Linked DNA regions of Schizosaccharomyces pombe. Changing the gene in region 1 together with any one later gene gives a genetic interaction. Each region holds a gene or a part of one and is shown on either strand. Other genes may lie near its edges.

The links.
Region 2: mutations in puc1 (region 1) and SPOM_SPAC823.09C together harm fitness less than expected from each alone (positive genetic interaction), as found in Schizosaccharomyces pombe (one large-scale study listed by BioGRID).

Annotation. Positions count from the first base shown.
Region 1 is NC_003423.3:3,698,491-3,703,534, reverse strand, and holds puc1 (G1 cyclin Puc1), read left to right. Parts: upstream 1-1,845; 5' UTR 1,846-2,882; coding exon 2,883-3,962; 3' UTR 3,963-4,337; downstream 4,338-5,044. Other genes in the region: SPOM_SPBP8B7.31 (acid phosphatase), read right to left, coding at 4,498-4,562, 4,616-4,735, 4,811-5,044.
Region 2 is NC_003424.3:2,593,932-2,598,136, reverse strand, and holds SPOM_SPAC823.09C (threonine aspartase), read left to right. Parts: upstream 1-2,191; 5' UTR 2,192-2,317; coding exon 2,318-2,403; exon of another isoform or gene 2,404-2,443; coding exon 2,444-3,171; exon of another isoform or gene 3,172-3,223; coding exon 3,224-3,345; exon of another isoform or gene 3,346-3,402; coding exon 3,403-3,504; 3' UTR 3,505-3,592; downstream 3,593-4,205. Other genes in the region: glycine transporter Hem25, read left to right, coding at 928-1,332, 1,401-1,886; ATP-dependent RNA helicase Rrp3, read left to right, coding at 4,093-4,205.

The DNA.
Region 1 (5,044 bases):
AAACATTTCAAGGTGACACACCCATCCACAATATGATTATGGCAATGTAGCTGTGAATTTCCAAAGTCTGAGTTGTTTATTCCCATTATCGATTGGAGCATTATGCCTGTAATATGGTTTCACTTGATTCTAGGCAGATAGGCGTACAATTTTACGAACCCAAATTTTTTGATTAATAGACTTAACACGGCGAACTAAAATTTAACCGAACGCTATTTTTGTTACACCACATAATTAGAAAATTACTCGCATGAGGATAATTAAAAATACTCTGGTAAAATTAAAATTATTGTAGAAGACAGCTTGTATTTAAAGAGTAGCAATTACCATCTACAACTTATAAAGAAAACATATTCAAAGTAACAGAATCTTACAAAGGATATATATGCAAATGAAACGAAGAAAGCTCATACATGAACCCGTCTACGTTTCTAAACTTGATTACATTTGATATATTCAAAATAAAATAAAGAAGTGAAATAAGTGATTGACGTAAAAAATTATTTTCTTGCCGATGAGATTATACATTCGTTTGTTTATTGAAATTTGTTCACAACTTAGATAAATCTGTTTAGTAGTACCAGTTTTATGTACCCCCATTTAGTTACTACGATCCCACTTAAAATGTAATACAAACTGTCAGTACTAACCAGAAGAAGGACAATAGTACTAACGACTTAGACCCCCCACTTTGGTACAAAAACACCACCTGAATCAACAGCATGTAAAGTAGAAGTCATAGATTAGAAGCATGAGAACATTTCGTAGTGAAAATAAAACATTGCGTTGAGAAGCAATCTCGTTCAACTACCAAACATTTTTTTCCATTGAATAGAATAATGTTATGACCTTTAAGCCAAGCAATGCGTTTTTCAACGTTTTGGTTCTGTTATTTTCTATCCTACTTTTATCCGCACCACCAGGTGGAATTATCTGTGAAACTAGACGGCTCATAAATATCGTTATGTCACTGATTGCGAATCTATTTATCCATGCTAGTTATTCATGTTCATTCCCCACATTCTCCTCAAAAATTAATTATTTCATCGGAAATTAACTGACTTAAGTCTTGACTATTATTTACAATTTGTTTAATCCATATACTAAGTGATAAACATTTACACACAGTAATTGGGCTGCTTATTTCCTTCTGCTATGTAAAATAAAGATTGCGGTATATGCTATTGTGAAGAAAATCGATATTATTAATGTTAATCTATCTAGCTGTAGTTATAGCTGGATTGCACCAGCCATTTTGTTAATAACGTGATTTTCATAAAAAAAAAGCTGTAGATGATCGAACGGGTCAATATTTACATTCTTGAATAATTGATTTACCTCTGCTTCTTGTCCCCACTTTTTCTTACTTGCGTGCGCAATGTTAGCAGTACGTACATTTCACGATTTGGCCAATATGATTTACAGCAAGTAACTTATCAATTAACCGCTTTTGAAAATCAAAATTTTGTACTAGTTTCTTTGTTCAAGTTCTTTGATAGATGGCGTGCTATGAATGGAATAGTTTTGGGCTACGTCGTCACTTACATGATGTGCTTGACCCATTGAATTAATTGTGTGTTAGTACTTTACGCTTTCAGTACACATCGTTGGTATGGTAAATTTGTGAATCGGCCATACCAAGATGGAGATCACTTGAGGCTTAATTAATTCAAATCCGAAAATTCCGGTTGTTGTTACTAACAGTAGCTAGTTACGTTGCAGAAATTACGAGTTAGAATGGACATTGTACATTCACAATGTAAGGATACCGATTCGCGATATTGTCACTACACTATAAGATTTATCCTTATAAAGATATCGATTGCCCACCGTTTATAACCTTCCATAATTTATCTCTTTACCAGTTCCGCCTTGTTTTTTGTTACATTCTCTTTTCTTACCACACCATAATTGCTTTTGGTATACAAGCGACAACTTTATTTATTGCTTGGTACGAATCGTTCACAAATTCGATCTCTTAGTCGTATCCGTTTATCATTTTTTATAAAATAGTAGCTGACGGAACTGAATTGTTTTCTTTAAAAGAGTCTGTACCACTTACTTTTCTCCAGCTTTTGGTGTTCTTTTATAATTTCTGTCCTATCAAGGTTGCGGTAAATTAAATTGACTGCACTGTAAATGAATTCGAAAGTTTGAACAGCGTAACCAAATTTTGTTTTTCTTTTGCAATACATCGTTTGGTTTAATTGAAATTTATTTCCTTATTTTTGCTGCATATGGACATATTTTACTAAATATCTTTCTCTTCCTTTTATTTTTTTTTATTTTTTTTTTCTTTTTGGAATTAACCTTGTGTTTCTTTGTAATATTTTCATTAGTATGAATGCATTGTCTGCTTCTGAAATCCGTTAATCAAACTAAATAACTATTCACCGAACCTTTTTGGAAACATATATTTATCGCATCTAATTTCTTCCGCTTCATTTTGCATTCTTTTAATATTTATATAGCCTTTTTTCACTATATATTATTGGGTTCTTTCGTCTTGGCTTTTTACAAGTCCTTTGCAATTTACTCTTTCGATTCCTTTATATTACCCCTTCCATTATTGATATCTCTTTAGCGTCCTTGAAAACCCAGTAATTTTTCCCTTTTTTTTAATCGTCACCTCACTCTTTTTTTTTCTTCCTTTTTAAATCGTCCCTTAATTTTCCGCCGTTGTATCGCTTTCAGTTAGTTAAACACTATTCGCTTTGACCACTACCTCTTAACAAGCAATCTGAGCCTGTTTATGTCCAATTATTTTTTCTTCAGTATCATTTTTTTAATAATTCACTGAACTTTGAGCTGCAACTTCATCGACTGTGAAGAGCTTTTCTACTCTTTCCTTCTCATTATTTTCAAATACCTGTCTACCCAGTATGTTAGTTTCTTCCAATGAGGAACAACTTACTGCTCATACTCCCACTTCATCTTCAAGTATAGAACCTAAAATATTAGCTGCCTGTTCATATTCTCTATCAGTGGGCCCTTGCTCTTTAGCTGTTTCACCAAAAGGCGTTAATTCCAAATCTCCCTCTCTTAAAAATGAGACTGCATTTGTTGTCGACTCTGTTAGCACATTGTCAGCGGAATCTAGCGCCTTACTTTATAACACTCAATCCTCTTTACTCACTGGTTTATCAATGAACGGGTATTTAGGTGAGTACCAGGAAGACATTATCCATCATCTGATTACTAGAGAGAAAAATTTTTTGCTGAATGTCCATCTTTCTAATCAGCAACCGGAACTCAGATGGTCAATGCGACCTGCACTCGTTAATTTTATTGTAGAAATACATAATGGATTCGACTTGTCTATTGATACTCTTCCGCTTAGTATTTCCCTCATGGATTCATATGTCTCGAGGAGAGTGGTATACTGCAAACACATTCAGTTAGTAGCATGTGTTTGTCTTTGGATTGCCAGTAAATTTCATGAAACAGAAGACCGTGTTCCATTATTGCAAGAACTGAAGTTAGCTTGTAAAAACATCTATGCTGAGGATTTATTTATTCGTATGGAACGCCACATACTTGATACTCTTGATTGGGATATCTCAATCCCTACACCAGCTTCGTATATTCCTGTTTTAGACCCGATTTTTTTCTTAGTACTTGATGCATCAATGTTTGTACCTAATTTATTCAAATTTCCCGCTTCCAAAATCGCATGTTCAGTTATGAACATCGTAAACGAACATGTCGGATCGTTTCTTTTGACACACCCTTCTATGGAATCCTATCGCAAAGATGATAACTTTTTGTGGCCTGAAGACTTGGATACCGTAACATCATATATGGAAAACATGTCAAAGAGGTATGCTAATGAGGAATGTACTGATTTACTGTTTTCCTCACTAGGCCGTATTTCTAGTATTTTAGCAAAGAAATATCCGGAACAATGCGCAATGGCTGCCTGGTGCAACATGACTGAAAAGGATACTGAGCGTACTTTGTAACTTTAACATTGCTTCTTCTTCGATTTATATATATTGCAATGCTTCTAGACAAACATGTAATGGAGATATAATTTCAAAATTATATATTTACTTGAGAAAAGTAAGTGTATAGTGATGTAATTTTTTTTAAGAATTTTTATAAAATTCATTATATTAATCAATTAAACTACTCTGTTATGTTCTTTGTTTTCCTAAACCGGTTTGCAACTATGCTCATATGACATTATACCGTTTGTATATATTTTTGTTATTTATTTATATGATACTTACTTAGTTTGCAAAAAGAAAAGAGAAAGTTCATAAGAAACCCCATATTACAGATTGAAGCAATTTAGGTCTTTAATAGATTTAATTTCTAAATTTGATTCTTCACCCATTAAAAGTAGTATCAGTGTTTCCCAATTTTAACAATGATACTGTGATTAAACAAAATACATCTCAATTCGAATAGAGACTTCTAAATATAAGTTAAAGCACGATAGTTGTTTTCTTAAGATGCAAGCAAAATTGATTAACTTTTCTTTCAAAAGAAAAATTAACCATGCATATGATTTTTTAGAAATGAAAGAATATTTAGTGAGTTTTTTTTAATTTTCTCCACTTGTTTATACCTTGCTCAAAGGACGCACGATTAAGGCCATCAGGAACTAAACAGAATGTAACACCAAGTCTTTCAACCTCTCTGTTCCTAGACTCATCATCAAAAAACACCATTTCTCGATAGTCAATTCCAGATTCGTTGTGGATCTCTTTGAAGTGATCCATTTTACTACCTATTTCACAATAACTAGTTAGCAATATGATTATTGATATTTTCTGTATTGACAAAAATGTATTAAAAGACATACCTGGCCAAGCTTTTACATAAGTGAAAAATTCGATAGCCGGCTTAAGACTTCCATCTATTGGTACCTTCATCAAATTCAATGCTTGTTTCGCATACTTGGGAGCACAAGTACGGCTAGCAACGCACAAAGTAACTTTTTGGTTCCTTAGCTCTTGTAAAATTCCAGTTATATCTGAGTAAAAACAAATCTCTGTGCCATATTTGTCAATCAAAACGCCTGGGTCATTTTTGGAAG
Region 2 (4,205 bases), on another chromosome or scaffold:
ACTAACTAAATATTAACCCCGAAAAATTCAAACACTTATAGATATGCCTGAAGTTAAGAAAAAGGGATTGCAGAATGTATTTTCTCAATCTTTAATGCTTTATAAAGTCGTTGTCATTGGCTAAGATAAAAGTCATTTAGAAATAAATCAAATAGAGTTGAATGGAAATTTGATTCTATAACTAGTGTAAACAGTAAATAGGCATTTTCGTGTTATTTCAATAAATAAAATCATTATATTTTTCTTCTTTAATCTATTTCAAGTAAGGCGCCGTGTAATTAGGTATTAAGAGGTATTTGTTGCCTAAAATTCTCAAGTTTGTATTTCATTTCGTACTAAATATGATACTTTATTTGTTAATAGAGAATGATGAAAGTGTAAAATAGAGCAGGCAGTTTATCGCGTTTCCAATGTAAACTAGAAGAGATAGGAAATTTTGTTATACACGTTCCAAAGTAATGTCAATGTAATTTCAATAATCATGTGAACTTCTGATATAGTGCAATGAATTATGAACTTAAGCATCCATTGCTGATCGAATCATCTTCAATTAATCCAACGCATTACCTTCTGCAGTAATGGCTTCAGCAATTGCACTATAAATATGTAGCGAATACAATAATTACTAAAGCAAGACTAAGAATTTAAAAATCGCTCTACCTTTTAACAATGATTGTTCTGAATTTTTTTCACCATCCAGATTATGATGTACGCGAGAACGGTTATAGCGATACTTCCAACCTTCCCATTTTGCTACTGCCGTATGTTATCTCAATACATGTCTATGCAAACAAAGTTTTGAACGTAACTCCTATTTAAATCTTTTTTTGATTAGAAAATAAATAGATGATTTAGCTGAAACCTGAATTCTTTCGCATTGTTAAGCATAGTCGACTACACATAACTTTTCTGTACACCTTTCCCTAAATGTCAGAAATTAAGAAAACGGAGAAATTGGGTGTAAAAAGCAGTAAACATCTTGCTGCTGGTGCTTTGGGTGGATTTATTTCCAGTACAACTCTGCAGCCTTTGGATTTGTTGAAAACTCGTTGTCAACAAAGTCAACGCGACTCCCTTCCTAAAATGGTACGCCGAATAATCCTTCATGAAGGAGGTGTATTTTCTCTGTGGAAGGGTACTTTGCCCTCAATTTTAAGGTCTACCACTGGTTCATCTTGTTATTTTTATTTTTTGAACTGGTTAAGACATTTTGCTCCTCAATCAAAAAATATTGCGTCTTCCCATATACAGAATTTGTGGATGGGAGGATTTGCTAGAGCTGCTGTAGGATTTGCATTTATGCCTGTTACGGTTATAAAAGTTCGTTATGAGGTATGAGAAAAATATTGAAACTAATCATTCCCATATAGTATAGCATTTTACTAATCAACAATTGATAGAGCAACCTATATTCTTATACCACCATTTATTCGTCAATTAGGGATATTTGGAAAAAAGAAGGTATATCTGGTTTTTTTAGAGGATTTGGAGTCACCGCATTAAGAGATGCACCTCATGCTGGGCTATACGTATATTTTTATGAACTTTCTAAGCAAAACTTGCATAAACTCTTTGATCGATTCAGTCCATCCTCTTCGGTGCAAGGCACTGTGCCGCATCGCAATATTGTCAATGTAATGTCGGGTCTCATTTCAGGTGCTACTGCAACAGCTATCACAAACCCATTTGATATGCTCAAAACTCGTGTTCAATTAGAACCTCATATATACAAAAACTTTTTGCATTCTGCAAAACTTGTATATGCCAATGAAGGATTTAGAGGATTCCTTGATGGATTCTTCCTTCGTGTACTTCGAAAATCTATTTCATCTACAATTACTTGGTCTGTTTATGAATGGGCACTTCACCGTAAGGTTATTAAATAATTTAAAAAGAGAGAAAAAGGTTTAATTTATAGTACCATAAATTAACAGTATTGGTATGAATGAACCTGATCCGTTCGTTTGAGCACATAATGCTATTTTATTTTGACCTAAGTATTCTAATGTATTAATATAAACTTTTAATTAGATTTTTAATAGCTACTCTTTCTGCCGGTCAGTATGCATCATCTCCAACGTTCTGTAATTATTAGCTTTTACAGTGTACAAAGAATAAATACGTATTATTATAAATTCGTAATATAAACCTTTGAGTTATCGAATACAATGTTTGCTGCTAACACGTTGGTGCGCTTACTATTCCACCACATGGATCGTAACGACACTGCTTCTCGTTGTTGAACAAGTATGCTAAAGGTTATATTACAGGAATCTTAAGAACTTATCTTAGTCATACAAAAATACTTGCTGCAATAATGTCTAATGGCTTGGTAATTTTACATGCTGGCGCTGGCTTATACAGTGGTCAACGGGAAATCCAAGCCAAAAAAACCTGTTCTGAGTAAGTATTTACTGAAAGTTATTAATAAACTAACTTTCAGTGCTTGTAAAGCTGCTATTCAGGCTCTTAAAGTTGGCCAATCTGCCTTATCTGCTGCTATTCAGGCAGCAAAAATTATGGAGGATAGTCCAGTGACAAACGCTGGTGTAGGTTCTAATTTAAACATTGATGGAAAAGTTGAGTGTGAGGCTGGAGTCATGGATTCTGAAAGTGGTTTAACTGCAAGTGTTGCTTGTTGCAATTGCTGTAGGCATCCTTCAGAAGCATGTTTATATATTTTAAACAAAAGAAAGGTAATGAGCCAACATGGACTGGTACCTCCTGCAATGCTTGTTGGGAACGGAATAGAGAAACTTCTCCTTCATAGTAACATAAAACTTGTTCCAGAATCACATCTCATAACTGAGAGATCTATGAAAACTCAAATAAAATGGAAAGAAATCCTTTACCAAAATCCAATCAATCTCTCTTCGCAAGATACCATTGGCGTAATATGCGTGGATAAAAATGGTAGAATTGCCGTTGTAAGCAGCAGTGGAGGATTATTACTTAAACCAGCAGGGAGGATCGGATCTTCTCCGATACCAGGGCATGGTTTTTGGATTGAAAGCTTTGATAATAAGTCTCATTCCTCTACTTGTGCTGTTGCTACCTCTGGAACTGGTGAACATATTAGCAACACTTGTTTTGCTTGTCGTTCTTCACAACTTTTAGTTTCCGAGGATAATGTTGTATCATCTTTAAATAAATTAATTAATGACTTTCATGGTAAGCTTATTGACTTGTGCGTTCGTATCCCGTACTTGTTCTAACTGTTAAGAACATCCATCTGCAACATTATATTCAGATTTGCAAGTTGGAATCATCTTTGCTAAAGTTGAAACCTCAAATTCCCATAACAAAAGGATCATTTTTGGATTAGCACATTCATCGCCAGACATGGTAAGTGTATCTTGATTGTCAAAAAATGATTATCACAACTAACGAAATTTTATTAAGGTTTTTGGTTTTATGAAAGGGGATCACTCTAAACCTACAACAGAAATTTCAAGAAAGGGTTCCAAAAGGTCTTCTGTTCAACTTTATGCCGAAAGACTTTAAGACAAGGATTGCTCAACCAGGTTGAAATAATTTAGGCTAGAACTGTAAAAATCATCTTTTTAAAAAACAGTTTTTTTTTCCATGATAAGTTATTTGATTACGTATCGGTATTTTATTTTTTTGTTTCTTTACAATATTTCCAAAGTTCCAGAATTGAAATTATTGATGTAATATGAAGTATCAAATCTCTTAGTTTAACTCTTTGGAATTGAAAAACATTTCATACTTTAATCACATCGAATGTCTTCACAAGTTAATTTTATTAATTTCTTACATCTGTTATGAAGCTTTTTGATGTTTACAATGTTAATAAGACACTGCTTTAAGATAATGTTATTCTCACATCGCAAAAACATTTAAGGAAGCCTAGAGTATTCATTAAAAATTACAAACAGTTAATGCGACAAGCTTGAAAAAAACCACCAGTTTCCAAATTGGTGCTCGGTTTCGCTAATTTTTTCTTTCCTAATTACTTTTTCGAAGTTTTAGTAAATAACTTTCATTGATCATTAAATCTACAAATTACAGCTGTTGTGCTTGAACAACTGCTAATTATTTCTTTTTGGTGTCCGCAAAAGTTTTTATACAATGGCACCTTCTGAGAAAAAACTTACTGAGGATAAAAAAAATTCCTCATTGAATAAAAAGATTGAAACATCTAATTCAAGCTCTGAAAAATCTTCGGAAAATAATAATGGTGA